3 linked regions of the Drosophila melanogaster genome follow. The protein of the gene in region 1 interacts with the protein of each later gene in a pairwise test. Each region holds a gene or a part of one and is shown on either strand. Other genes may lie near its edges.

Region 1 (6,481 bases):
GTTATATTCATAGAGCTGTGCCGTGTGTAGGCACCGCCATCGACTTGGGGCCCACCACCACACGCGCAGACACACAGACACAGCTCGCTCTCGCTTTTTGTCTTCCGTCGGGTTATCTCGCTGCTGGCGACTCTGGGCGCCTGTTCCGTTATATCGCGTAGAGGGACCTGCCTCAATGTTGCGCGTCAATTTTAGGGAGCCTACACCATAAAAATCGGTGACGGTTGGCCACTTTTTTTGTGGCCCGGCACGTCCCACTTTTTTTTCATCTTGGCCTTCTCGACAGGCCGTTGAGTGGAGTTGGGCGCTCCAAAAGCGCCTGCGCGGAGTGCGCGACGCCTCGCTTTGCAGCTTTGTCGCTCGGCCGCCATTTGCGATTCCCGCTGCTGGTGTCGCCAAATATGAAGCAAGCAGAATGCGGCGCAAGCAGTACGGATATGTTTGTGGATGCTGCTTAGGTGTCTGCAACTTGCCCTTGACAGTTGACTTTAACCCGCTGAGTGCTGTGCGAAGGCAATCCCAATCTTACCTTGTGAATGCAATTAGCAAGGTTCTAAGTTCTAAGTTAAAATGTTTGTAAATTACTTTTTAAGAAATGTGAACAAGTACTACAATGTGTATTTTTGGTGACACATTAACTTTTATTGCATTAAGCATTATCAGGAATAGTGCTTAGAAGTGCCTAAAAGTATGCCCACTTTGTTCTTAGTTGGGAACTGAACTAAGTAAACGTTTTCATTTTCAGTTTCCGATTATATCGAAACTGTAGTAATTTATTAGCCTAAAACGAAGACCTAGTGTTAGGCTTTCTAATATCCCAACTTATAAATATTATTTACATACATATGTACATATGTACATTGTATTTTCATATGTTCAGTGGAGAGATCGAGAGATGCGCTTCTCAAATTCCATTTTTTCCGTTATACCCCGTCTTTCACTGTCCGCCTCCACTATCTCTATCTCTCCGCATTTTCTCTTCTCTGTCCGCCGCACACACTCTCGTTGGCGTCTGTCTGCTGTCATCAGTTGCTGATTACTTGTTCACCAAACCGCAGTTTAGCGCTGGCAATGCCGGCGGCAGCAGACGTAACGACGACGACGGTCGCGTCTGATAGACAGCTGTCTCCAATTGGAATGTTGTCTCCGGTTACGTCAGTCAAAATGACGCATCGTGTTTTGGTAACAGGAAAGCATAAAAGCGAGAAGAGCACCAATGTGCGGCACTCTGCTGCACAATGGCCGCGAAACAAAAGAACAAGGCACGAAGAAAATGTGTAAACCGTTGTGGGGGACGAAGAAAAAGCAGGCACAGACGCTGCGCCGCGTCACGACAACAAAAAAATCCACCCTCGCACAAAGCGCTAATATTTTGTTGGTTTTTCGTTTCGCTTTCAATTAGGCAGAGTGCAGTGTCTGGGCCAAATCTCAAAGGTAAGAGGAAGTGCACAACTTTCAGTGAAGCCAATCTAGGCAAACAAAAAGCCAAACTGTCCGTTTCGATATTTCACTAGAGCGGTATTATGGTTAAAACTATGTTAAAATAGTTCTATACTTAAATCGTAAATCAGTAAAATTTAGATTAGTCAATTTTCGTATAGTAACAATATCAATAATTTTATTGTTTTTAACATTTGGAATATCTTATAAATATGTATATGTATTATCATGTCTATGAATATATTCAGTTCTAACCAGTAAAATATTTGATTACTCCTTACACGTAGACGTAAAGTAATTTAGTATTTTGTTTTAAGTTTCTGTGCCTTTTGTCGGAAGTTCTAGCTAGTTAATTCGCGCATCACTGCCAGCGACGCTAACGCCAACGCGAACGGTTCTTGCCGCCGCTTTCACACAGACGAAAAAGCGCAGTGTGCGTTGGCCAACGCTGTGCGCCTGCTGTTCTGCGGACAAAATTTGAGCAGATCCGCTCACAAAAAAACGTACTTAACTGCGAAATAGTGCTGGTCGTGTAGGTTCCACGTTCCAACCGACTGCAGTGCTTTGGCTCCATGGCACCACGGCTAAATGGCCAAATGGCTCCACTGCTCCGGTGGCTCCAACTGCGGTGGTGCCCATTCCAGTTGGAAATTGCATGCGAGCACATGGGAAAAGTCCCCAACTGGTATTTCGAGCAGGCGCACAGCTTTCCCAACTGCTCACTCTCCCAAAGAGTTCCGTCTCTGTCTCGTTCGCACCGATAAGGAGCCTTTCGAGATAAGCAGCTGGAAAGGGACGGACTGATGGTAGCGGCAAAGCGCAGTGTGCAACGACAGAAAGGGATGCCCAATGATGGTCTAATCGGAGGGGGAATCGCTGATCGCTGATAGTACTGGAATCTGGTTGATATAACCCCAATATTATGTTAAAGAGTGAACTACATTTTTAACTGAGATTTTAGTGAGTTTCCGGCCTTTAAGGGGTGTATTTTTACGATAATAAAAGTTTGTTAGATCGCATATTGTTTTAAATATTTCATATATGTTATTTTATTTTAACGAATTTATACAATTGACTTCAAAAATATCTGTGCACCATTCCATAAAATGTAAACCGAATTAATATGTTGAAAATTACTCTCGTATTAACTCTTTTTTGGGAATTGATAATTCATTTGCGATACGATATGAGTTCTATATAAGGCTTAAGCTTTGGGGCCAATACTTCAGTCGTGCGGCAAACGCAAAGCTGAAAAGTATTCTAGTTCTATAGATCTCACGGTAAGAGAAAGTATAAAGTCTAAATAAGAGAACATAAAAATGAAATCGGATTGCGAGCTTTTATTGCATAGCCAATGGAAAAAAGTTTTAGTTAAATTTTCACGTCGGGTGCGTTTGGAGGCAGAGTGTAGCATAGTGTAAAGAACAAATTAATAATAATATAATAAAGTAGTTCTCTTGTGACATTTGGTGTCGTAAACAGTTTGGTTAAGAGAGTTTTTAAGAGTGACGGTTTGTTCTTTGGTGACATTGAGTGTAATTAATATCAAAATATTACTGTGGGTTTTTCCATTCCCTCCCACAAACAAACAAACAATGCTAAAAAACCATCAAATTGTCAAAAGTGTTGAGTGGAATGAGTCGTGGAAAAATGATTAGATGCGAACATATCTGAAAGTTTTTGCTCGCGGAATTTCGCCATAAAAATCTCGTGCGTCTGTGCGGAGATAGCGACCGTATAACCGCGAAATTTAAGTACTTTAAAAAACATGGGAGATAGATGTATTTTAGCTACTCGAAATTATTGACCGCAGTATATAATCGTATTTCCACTGAAATAATTGTCTCTGTTTTTTAGCCAAAATAATTGGCTCTTAGTCTTTGATAAATTCATCTATGTTTCGTAATTTTTTCATTACGCTCCACATGTTAAGTAAAATTAAACTTAATTTTAGAATGTTTATTTTTGCCAAATGTTATTGTTATTAACCCAGAAATAATCTTGCACCGTTCCTGATTATTGAATCCACTTCGATAAAACTCCAATATTATACCTTAGTTCTCGAACCAGCAAACCAGTTGTGCGTCTTATACATACGCCGTAGGAGAGACTGAGACTCACATCAGCTGCTCGGCGGCTTGAACGCCTACAGACATACATACATACGTACATACATATATAGGGAGAGATTTAGAGCGCGGATTATAATGCTAAACAGGTTCATTGGTTTATCGGCTGCGATCGTGGGTCGGAGCAGTCGGATCAGCGGCTTTCCGTTCTCGCCGCTCCTTAAAGCTGGGTGCGTATGCCGCTTGAGAGTTCAGTCGCTCGCGAAACACGACTTCGATCGCAATACTTCGAGATGAGATCGATTGCCACCAACTCCCTGCTGCCACTGATTGTGGCCTTGCTGATCGCCGGTAGTAATGCCTCCCTCCCACGCAGGGGCAGCAGAAATCAAAGCCAGAATCGCACCATGTCCGCTGGCAAGGCTTTCAAGGTCCTGGTGACACATCCCGAGGTTCCCCAGGAGGGCATTGATCTGCTGAAGGAGAACTGCGAGATCGTCCAGGTGCAGAGTGTTCCCATCAACCGGGCGGAGCTGCTGGAGAAAATCCGTGGCGTGGATGGCGTTCTCTGGGGTGGACACGAACCCCTCAATGCCGAGGCCCTCGATGCTGCCGGTCCCCAGCTGAAATCCATCTCCACCATGTCGGCGGGAATCGACTACGTCGATGTGCCGGAGGTAAAGAGACGTAAGATCCCGCTGGGACACACGCCCACCGTTCTCAACACCGCCGTGGCCGATTTGGCAGTGGGTCTCCTGATCGCCGCCAGTCGCCGTTTTCACGAGGGTCGCAAGACCATCGACAAGTGAGTACCACTAGTTGGTTAGTTGTGTTTGTGATGATTCATATACTTACAGAATTAATTTGAGCAATGACAAAAATAGAGTAAACCGAAATTATAATTGTCATAATTATTATTATAATTAAGCTAAACTAGGGACACTTTATTTTCAACTTAGTGTGGCCGTGAAATGTATACGCATGAATTCTCGATTAAAATTGCAAGCCGGTTCTTAAGAATACCGCCTGTCCGCTCGTCTGTCGCTTGCACTTTTGCTCTATAGCGCTCACAAGTGGACAAAGCATTATCATCAATAGGTTTTGGCTCCTCACATGCATAATGTAAAATTCTAAAGTATTGACTTTCGATTTATCTACAAACAAAAGGTACGAGCAGTTTATGTAACCGCCGCTAGGTGGCGGTGCAATAAAAAAAAGTTTTTTTTATCTTCATCTTAGCTTAGTAACAGGCATTTATCAGTATCTCGAGTATCTACAAGTATATTATATATTTTGGAAATATTCATATATCTTTCAATTTCTTAATTTGTATCTTTTGCGTTCTAAAAGTGACAAGTGGGAAAACTACCATCTTAACTGGCTGTTGGGCCAGGATATTCGTGATTCCACCGTGGGATTCTACGGCTTTGGAGGCATTGGTCAGGCTATTGCCAAGCGTTTGTCTGGATTCGACATTGACAAGGTGCTGTACACCACCCGTCGTCGTGTTCACAAGGAGATCGAGGAGGAGTTCAATGCCAAGAAAGTTGACTTCGATACCCTTCTGGCCGAGAGTGACTTCGTAGTGATCGCTTCTCCTTTGACGAAGGACACACAGGGCGTCTTTAATGCCACCGCCTTCAACAAGATGAAGCAGACTGCTGTGCTGGTTAACATTGCCAGGGGCAGTAAGTTACCAGTATTAATTGGGATTCTCGACCGATTTTAACTATTTATTTTATTCCTCAGAAATCGTCAACCAGGATGACCTCTACGAGGCTTTGAAAGCCAACCGAATCTTTTCCGCCGGACTCGACGTCACGGATCCGGAACCATTGTCGCCCAAGGACAAGCTGCTGACGCTTGACAATGTTGGTGAGTGGGAAAATGAAAATAATGTTGTAGTTTATTGATATCAGTCCTCAGGCCCACACCTAGCAAATACTCGTATTTCTGGCCCCTTATCAATATAAAGATTTTGACTTATCTCTTCAGTGGTTGACAATGACTAAAAGTATTTTGAAATTAATGGAATCTTTAAGGTTTCTTGAAGGTTACAAATAAATAGGGTAACGTTTATTCTTTCCATGTTTTATCTAATTTCTGCGTCCTTGTTGACCTCTATAATTCCCTTCTTTTGTTGATTTATTAAAACATTGTTATCTTGGTTTGTGTAATCGTATCTTGAACTAACCACTTGATGTGTTCTTTTAGTTGTCCTGCCCCATATTGGATCCGCCACGAAGCGCACCCGTGCCGACATGTCCACCATTGCTGCCCATAATGTGCTCCGCGGTTTGGCTGGGGAGCCCATGTTGTCGCCCGCCTACTAGTAAATTCAAATGGGAAATATGGCTTTCTACCGCTAACCAGTTTGGAATGTCCGCCAAACAAAGTGCGAAAGGCCGCCGATGACCTTGGCATGCCAGTAGATGTGAAAATAAAAAAAACAATTAAAAAACAAGTATTTGCTGTTGCAAATTTATTAAATTAAATATGTGGGAATCTAATCTATACCGTAAGATTAGCTCAACTGATTAATATGGAATAGGTAAAGCAATAGAATAATTGGTGCTAGAGAATGAGAAACATAATTTAAATACTAATATAGTATATCGTAGGAAATAATATTGTACGTTTTAAGAAATGAGAGCAGAAAACATTGATTTAGTAATTCGCAAAGTTTAGCTCTGCACAATTGCAAAACCTACCACTTTTCCCCAAAATGTATCGAGGACCTTCAAACTGCTGATTTCGCATCCAAAAGTCCCAGGAACGGCTGCGGGAGCTTGTCGGATCAGGATCGGAATAGGATCATCGCTTCTTAAAACTGGGTGCTTATGCCGCTTGAGAGTTCGCTCGCGAAACCCGACTTCGGTTGTAGTTTTTCAACCTGCTCCCACTGATTATGGCTTTGCTGATCGAATATAATAATTGAAGGCCCCTGGGCATGGCCCGTTGGTTTCAAGGTG
Region 2 (3,659 bases), on another chromosome or scaffold:
AATCTTGACGTTCATACGGACAGACGGACATGGCCAGATCGACTCGGCTATTGATCCTGATCAAGAATATAAATACTTTATATGGTCAGAAACGCTCCCCCCCACTGCCTGTTACTTTTTAACGAATCTAGTATGCCCTTATACTCTACGAGTAACGGGTTATTAAAAAAGGGTTATTATTTGCATTTCAAATAATTCAAATACTGAAAGCTAATATAATTTCCAAAAGAAAAATACTAAAGCCTCAATGCATTTATATACAAACGCGTAGCTCTTATTTGTTTACGACTCGTTCAGTTGTCAATAGCAACGCAACGCATAGTAAGAAAGTATTACTTTGTTACAATCGCAATAAGATGGAAGAACTTCAAAAAGTTGGTGTGTTTATAGATGAAATTTACACGGTGCGAGTTGAGCATCCAAACCTTTCCAGTAGCAAAATAATGTTTAAACAAGAATGCTTCAACTACATTAAAGCATTCACTATTTTTAAAAAGTTTGTGTTTAATTATTGTAATATTTCTGAAACGTTTGCCAAAGATGTCGATAAGGAAAAACTACGCGCTATTGGTACTCAAAATCAATTAAAAACGGCATTTATTCAGCGCCAGAACAAGCAGCAAGTCTATCAATATGAGATATTTGAGCAAACAGTAGAACTTGAACGCTTAAAAGGCGAATTGCAGTTTTTACAGCGAATTGAAACGGAGCAACATGAAATAATAAACAATTTTTTTGTCAATCAATATTAAAATTAAATCTACGTATTTGTAGACGTTTTTCTTATTTTGTTGATATTCTTACGATAACATGTAAGACTACATAATGGAACATTTGTTGTTGAACAATTATATGTCTTGCGATTTTCACAACCGCTTACAAAGCACACCTGTGAAGGAGGAGGTGTACGAGGGAGTTGAACTTTTAAAGGATATTCGTAACCTGGGGGAACTATTACATAGTTGCCAGTTACAGCACTTATATAGGTTATTTTTGGATAAGAGGGCTGTTGTAAAGACTTATTGCGAATTGAAATCCGATCCCTGTTGGTTGCCTGTTTTTTTAACAACCGCTCCATTGTCTTTAATTTATCTTTTTCTCTGCGTTCGTCAGCTTGTTGTTTTCGTTTTTGAGATTTCAGAAGAGCTTTATGAATTTCCTCCGCAGTCTGCGGCTTTTCCTTTTCTTTATAACCACTTGGAAGAGCAATTAGCTCTTCTATAAATCCATTTATTTCGGAGTCCTGTGTCCGTTCATAAATAGCACGTTGACGTGCTGTCATAAGTTTGGGGTCCTTTATCTTTTTAAGTTCCTCATCAACAACGTCTAGTTTCCCGGTTTCTATGGCGGTAAGCCACCGATCCTCTTCACTGGACGTATCACTGTTGCGTCGTCTTTTACCTTTTTTAGCACCCGTGTGAGGCAAACTGTCATCATGTGCCAATTTTTTTGTGCTAATATTTCTCGTGCGTCTAAGAGGATGTTCATGAATATTTGAATTAGATGCAAGCGCATCTGTAGTGTAATGAAGTTCTTTAGGTCTCAACGAATTTGAAATAGACTCAGCAGATAAGTACTCTGCATCCTTAGAACCTATGAATAAAAAATGTTACTTTTTAAGATGTAACGTTTGGTGATTGATATAAATTACCTTCTTTCACCATTTCAATTGAAATACACTCGTCCTGTAGCAGCGGCCAATATTTTTGTTTGTTATGCTTAATTTTTTCAAATGTCCAAAAATTGCATTGGTCATACATCCACTACGATGCTTATAGCCTAATTCCACAAATGACATCCTTATTAAACGGCTGGGAAAATCGTGCAATCTCTCTGGCCACATAGTATAATGATTTTAAACTTATAATGATTATAATTATAATAATAATAATTATAATAATAATACTAAAAAAAATTTGAATTGTGCACAATATATTTTTGTATTCCCCTTCCTAAATGCATTTAAGCAATTCACAGAATACATAGCAAAACCATGGTTAGCGGTTGTGTTGAACCGATAACCGATGAAACTGAATAGTAACTAAATATCGTTCCTGATGTCGAGACTCCAATCTATGTGCACTTATGCACGCGAATTCAAATTCTGCATGAAAAGCGCATAAGTTGATAAATGAATAATGGATAAAGTTTAATAAAATTACAAATTATTTGAATTTTTGGTCGGGTAATGTTTAATGTTTTTTATGTTAGTGTCATTACAATCGATATGTTCGATTATTTTACTAAACTTTATATATATATATACTATACTATACTATATATATACTGTTTGTCAAGAAACTGTTTACACACCGTGAAATAAGTTGAATTTTTAACTTTAAAGGTCAAAATTAAGGGTTATTTGTTTAATTAAACGCAATTTTTTTATGAAATATAATTAAACAATATTTATTTTACTTATAAATTAAAAAACAAATTCAAAATATCAAATATACAAGAAAATAAACAACAAATTTCAAGTTTACACACTTTTGAGAGTGTAAAGAAACTATTTACACAAAACACTAAACCTAAGTTTAATCATAAATTTTTTAATTATTTTGTTAATATTTGAAAATTTTTAGTATTTAGTATGACCCCCATTGGCTTTGGCTACAAGTTGAAGCCTTTTTTTCATGGAATGGATGAGTTTTTTTAGGTCATATTCAAGCGGGATCTTTTCCCACTCTTCGACTATCGCAGCAATGAGATGTTGCCGTGTTTTGGGGCACCTTTTTGCCACCTTCTTCTTTAAGTAGGTCCACAAATTTTCAATGGGGTTCAGATCAGGACTCTGAGGGGGCGTATCGATCACCTTGCCACAGTTATAAAGTAGCCAGTTGCGTACATTGTACTCTTTATGTTTGGGATCATTGTCGTGATAAAACTTAAAATTTGGCTTGTTGTTGCTAAATAGACCACATTTTTCTGCACTGGCCTTCAAATTTGTTTCTAAAATATCTAGATATTGCACGGCATTCATAGTGCTTTCAATAAAGGCTAATTTGCCCACTCCATGGCTGGAAATACAGCCCCAAATAATCACTGACAATTTTCCAAATTTGATTGTTGGTATGATATTTTGTTTTTCTAGCGCACTCAACGGTTTGCGCCATACTCTGCTTGGCCCGTCGTTATAAAAGAGCATCATATTTGTTTCGTCACAAAATATGACGTCATCCCAGTACTCTTCCGCATGATCTATCATGCTGAATGACGCTTTTCAATATTGACCTCTGATAGCAAAGGCATTTTTCTTGCAACTCTTGAAGAGTACCTATGGTAGTAGGATAACGTGGTGCACAGTTTCGTGTGACACAGTTAGGTGATATTCTTCCCTGATATCCTGAGCAAGTGATCTGACCGAGATTCGGGGGTTCGCAATCACTTTTAAGGCAGTCTACTCGCTTGTTAATTTTGGTTTTCCGCCCATTACCACTCTTAGGTTCAAGCCTGCCCTCTTTTTCCGCACGATTTAAAATATTATAGACGGTCTTAGGTTGCCGTCTCTTGTTCGTTTGCATCCCTCGACTTCTCCTCCACAGGCAAAGTCCACCGATTTCTTTATGATGAATGGTGAAATTCTTTCGAAAGAGTTGTTGTCTTTCCTTTTGATAATTATAAATTTAGGTTCACCTAATTGCGATGGTATGTTTTTG
Region 3 (4,780 bases), on another chromosome or scaffold:
AAATATGCGATAACATTACTTGTATCATCAAAATAAAATACGTTTATATATTTACTCCGCCCAGTTATCTTTGAAACTTTAAAATAATATATATTTGTAGTTTGTACATTTTTGAAATAAAAAATACTAACATTACTAACAGAACGTTTTATTCTCAGTGTGCTTGCGCTCCGTGGCACTTTTCTCTCTTCGCTCCCACCACAGTTAGAACAAAACTTGAAATTTCGCTGACTCCGCGAGCTCAGTGGAAGAATTCACAAATTGCAAAAATTTCAATTCAAGGTTGTTGCTCTCTGCGGCTGCGATAACTGGCAGGTCGGGTATTTATTTTCCTCTGTTGGCTTGTCAAGTTCTGGCTTCTTATTTCTGCTGCTTTGCTGGCTCGCGTCATGTTTCTGGCTAAAAGATACTGACTGTGTTTCTGTTTCTTCTTATCCACAATCAACAAACATTTCTAAGGGGCTTTCAAAAATACTGGGTTACGTGATACTGGGTAGATGAATAATCCGTATACAGCAAATCTTTCCAGGTTTACTCTATCTACATATAACTAACTCTTGATTTCATTTATTAACAAATGTAACCATTTTTAGTGTTTCCAACTGTTGTATTGCGACCATTGTGACAATTTAGATGGTTCATAGCATCTTCACTACAATTTATGAAAGTTTTTACAACTCCAATTGTCTATTATCTAGTCCTATGAAACCGACATTCATTATTACGGATGGGTGGACTGACCACAAAGTTAAATTAATATTTAATGGCACAATGGAAACGGGTTTCCGTCAAACAAATCGATGGCGTTTAACGGAAAGTAAGTAAAGTCCGGGCTGCGGATTCCGATTCCGTGAGTATAGAGGCGGGGGAGGAAGAAGCAGCAGAAGCGGTGGCGGCAGAAGAGAGCCAAAGCCAAAAGAGAATAAAAAGCACAATAAAAACGCCGGTAAAGGTCATCAACCGGAAGAAAAGCGCCCATGTGTGCGTGAGTGTGACTGGCCAGTGTTTTTGTGTGAGTTTTTGTATAAACGAGTGTGTGAAAGTCGAAATCTTGCTGCCAATTATCATTATGACCATCTATAAATAATTATGTATTATGGTCGAACAGCATGCAAAACACGCTGGCTGCTCGGCCTCGTTACAGCCAACTGACAAACTGGCAAACTGACATCGAACTGCACAGTTGGCCTAATTTTCCCGTTTTTCTTTCTATCTTTCTGTGCCGTTGCTTCCCTCCCTCCCCCTTTCTTTTGCGGCGCCCCAGTGTTCAATTAGCTGCCTGCTCACACACACACTCGCACTTGCTGGCACATGGAATTTCTCCCCTGTTGGTGAGCCCCGGCCAGAAATGCCAAGTTGACCATTTTCTGGCCTTTGAAGGCAGCGTGTTTGAAGTGGGTCAAGTATTCGCCAATGCGATTACATCTCTTCAAATGGAAATAAAAAAGTTATTGATCCTCGTAACTGTGTATAATTATTAAAGTCCTTATGCGAATTATAAATGTCTAGATTTGTTTCTAAAAAAAAATTGTTTTTCATAATCAACTTACATATCCTAATAACTTCTTAAAACTGAAAACTTCCAATCTATCTAAAATTTAACCGGGTTCTCCATTTTATATTATTTTTGTTCTTTCATAAAAAAATAATTTGAAATTATACTTTTACTAGCTTGCTTTCGCAGCAGCATCACTGATAACGGTGCAAGTGCTTTCCTCGCTCTCTCTGTCACCGCTGAGCGAGAGCGTACTCGCACTCATTCATTATTTTTCATCTATTTATTCATAAATGCATTTTTTGCCCCTGCTATTTTCAGCGGCTCAAGAGTTTTAATTTTAGAAAGCACTGCTCCCTACTTTTCGTCTTTTTCTCCCGTAATATTTATGCAACATGCAATGCTGCTTTATTTATCTCTGTGGGAAAGAAAGCGTGGCATGTTTTTTGCGGTGTGTGGTGTCTTCTTGTTATTCCTGCGTGGGAGCGTCAGGTTCCAAGTTCGTTTCCCTAATTTTTTCTTTTGGTCCACAGATGGAAGGTTGGTCTAAAATGTGGAGTGACTCATAAAGGCTATAAATAGGCAAATTGATATTGTCTAAAGCTGGCGGTTAATGATTATTGATTGCTGACGTAGACGTCGATAGCATTTGTTGATTGTCAATTGGTTTTCCCCGATGACGAACGATTTTTGAGTCTATGATTTATTGGACTGCAGCTGCTCTGCTCCGCTCTCTCTTTTGAGCTCTGCTCCGCTCTCGCTCCTTTGATAAGCCCGCATATGCTTATGTGTGTGTGTGTGGTGAGGTCAGCGCATCAATTATGCTCATTTCTTGTCTTTTTCTTTGATAAAATCAGCGAACAACAAATGGGAAAGGGCGGGGGCAGGGCCCCGGCCAGACGGCGGCGCCCGAGATTTTTGGCAAATCAAAGCAGTCAGCTGTCCCCTTTGCTCATAATTAAGCAATGGGGAGCAGTGAAAGTGTGTCGACTACTAATTGGCACCTTGAATAATTGCACACCGATAAATAAAGTAGTGGCTTCCTTTTTCCTCTCAAGACAAAAGGGCGTCGCACTGCACTTACACACATACATGTACACCGCTCTCCCCTTCTTATCTCCAGTCTCTATACTTCTAACGCTGATTTTCAGCCGATTTTAAGCCACTTGCAACGTCAACAATTTTCACAACATTTCACATTTACAATGCAGTCTTTCTTTTCCTTCTTCTTTTCTTTTTGTTGGAAACGCATCCGCCATTTGCAAGCCACTTGTGTATGTGTGCCGGAGCGCTGCGCCTGTTTGAGTGTGTGTGTGTGTTGGGTTGTCGCGTCGACAGTTTTTTCATCACTTTGCTTGGATTTAGATACGCTTTATCAAACCAGTTCTTACTTGCAACTGTTAAACTTTTTCTCAACTTTCTTATGCCTTTCGGCTGCGGACTTACACTTTTTCGTTAGTGGGAAAATTGAAACATTTGCAAACAGAGTGACCGTGGCGACATACTCCAAAAATCGCGCCAGTCACATAATAGTCCTAAATTTGGACAACTAGCGATGACTCAAGCCGCCGGATAAATGCGCTATGTTTTTGTAGCCGAGACACGCTACGTGGGGAGAGCGATGTTTTTATCGTGGACACAAACCAAATTGAAATTCTTCACCGAAGATTTTATCGCGACTGTGCCATGGTCGCACTGATTAGCTCACCGAAACGTTCATTGAATTTGTTTTGATTATCTCGAAATAACAAGCTATTTTCTCAATTTTCCTGACAAAAATGACATCGATTGCCAAGTCCATAGTACTATTGGCATCCCTGGCCACGTTCGCTTACTCCCTGTACGTGGTTGGCAGCCTGATGATGTTCCTTTCGACGCCTCGTTCGATTTCCAAGGCGCACACCTGGATTTTCAATTTACTGGACAACAAGTCGCGCCTGCAGACCGCCTATGGACCCGTGGTGTTCGATACCCTCTACCTGATCGGATTCATCTTCCAGCACAGCTTCCTCAAGTCAGCCGTGGTCAAGAAGCTGTTGGCCAAGTTGGGATTGTCGGGTGCGGAGCGCACTATTTATAGCCTGACGTCATCGCTTTGTTTACATGTTTGTATACCCACAAATTGGACAGAAATAGCTCCCAACTGCAACTTTGGACATTTCAGTATTTGATCGTCAACTGGCTGCCCGCTCAGTCGATTGTTCTGTGGCAAATCGATGTGGAGCAGAGTGCTCCGCTTTGGTGGACCTTCGTGATCACCCATGGCATCTGCTGGGTTGTCATCTTTGGCGGCAGTTTGGTGATGGATCTGCCAGAGCTGCTGGGCGTCAAGCAAGCCTACTACGATCTGAAGGCCTACGGACCGCCCATCAGCTACAAATCCGGGGAATTGCGCAATCTGTACGCCCATGTCAGACATCCCTCGTTTGTGGGCCTGTCGGTCATCCTGTTCGCCACGAATGTGATGAGCGTGGATCGGCTAGTCATGGCCTTGCTGCTGACCACCTACATGTACCTGGCCTGGTCCACAGATCAGAAGGATGTGGCCTATCAGAAGATTCAACTGCAGCGCAAGAAACTCGAACTGAAGGCCAAGTAAACTTAATCTCAAAAGTGTTCTTACTAAGATCTAGTTGTAAGTTGACATGAGTTTGTATTGAATAATACTTTTCTAACAATTTCAGTTTCCGAATCAGAACGAAACAAATAATGAAAAAACTAAAAGATATATAAAAATATATATGGTTCAGTTTTTACTATTTTACTACTATTGCTAGCTTAATTAATTATTTTAAAATTTAACTCATTCTTACGATAGAAGGATCAAAGGGCTGTCCTTTAAACGGCGAACCTTCGGCATCCCAGGCAGCTTTCAGGCGATCCAGGTTTATAGCTTGGTCGGGACTTGAGGTCTGAATTTCATTTTGTTGCTTGTCTGCTGCCAACTGCTGGACCCTAAGCTTTTCTATGGTGGCCTGGGTTTCCTCCGGCAAATCATCTATATAGCGTTCGCATTCAATCTTCTTGGAATCGATTTCTGGATCACCTTCGAAGAGCCGATCCCACCAGAGCTCCTTTGCTTTATCTACAGTTATATACAGTTTATGAAAATGGTTTATAAAGATGTTTTAGGTGAATGCCCACCGTAACTTATGATCAATCGGTTCTGATCAATTGTCCACACCGCCTCCTTGTGTTTAATCCGCTGGCTCAGGTTTCCCTCGAGGATGATCGTCTCTGGGCTATGCTTGCTGCTCACTTTGATGTGCTGGGCCTGAATTGAAA

The links. Proteins that work in one complex are often made in the same cells at the same time.
Region 2: the proteins of CG9331 (region 1) and CG10395 interact in a two-hybrid assay, tested with the Drosophila melanogaster proteins (one large-scale study listed by BioGRID).
Region 3: the proteins of CG9331 (region 1) and alt interact in a two-hybrid assay, tested with the Drosophila melanogaster proteins (one large-scale study listed by BioGRID).

The regions. Positions count from the first base shown.
Region 1 is NT_033779.5:20,821,774-20,828,254, forward strand, and holds CG9331 (uncharacterized protein), read left to right. Parts: upstream 1-1,868; 5' UTR 1,869-2,342; intron 2,343-2,660; exon of another isoform or gene 2,661-2,951; intron 2,952-3,498; 5' UTR 3,499-3,647; coding exon 3,648-3,739; exon of another isoform or gene 3,740-3,802; coding exon of another isoform or gene 3,803-3,894; coding exon 3,895-4,314; intron 4,315-4,859; coding exon 4,860-5,197; intron 5,198-5,258; coding exon 5,259-5,384; intron 5,385-5,723; coding exon 5,724-5,842; 3' UTR 5,843-5,951; downstream 5,952-6,481.
Region 2 is NT_033778.4:5,348,814-5,352,472, reverse strand, and holds CG10395 (uncharacterized protein), read right to left. Parts: upstream 1,997-3,659; 5' UTR 1,665-1,996; coding exon 1,652-1,664; intron 1,594-1,651; coding exon 761-1,593; 3' UTR 753-760; downstream 1-752. Other genes in the region: IFT20 (intraflagellar transport 20), read left to right, coding at 357-752.
Region 3 is NT_033777.3:17,679,516-17,684,295, forward strand, and holds the start of alt (aluminum tubes), read right to left. Parts: upstream 3,001-4,780; 5' UTR 2,942-3,000; exon of another isoform or gene 2,887-2,941; intron 2,729-2,886; exon of another isoform or gene 2,580-2,728; intron 362-2,579; exon of another isoform or gene 132-361; intron 1-131. Other genes in the region: CG7655 (uncharacterized protein), read left to right, coding at 3,274-3,600, 3,660-4,094; CG31251 (uncharacterized protein), read right to left, coding at 4,294-4,580, 4,640-4,780.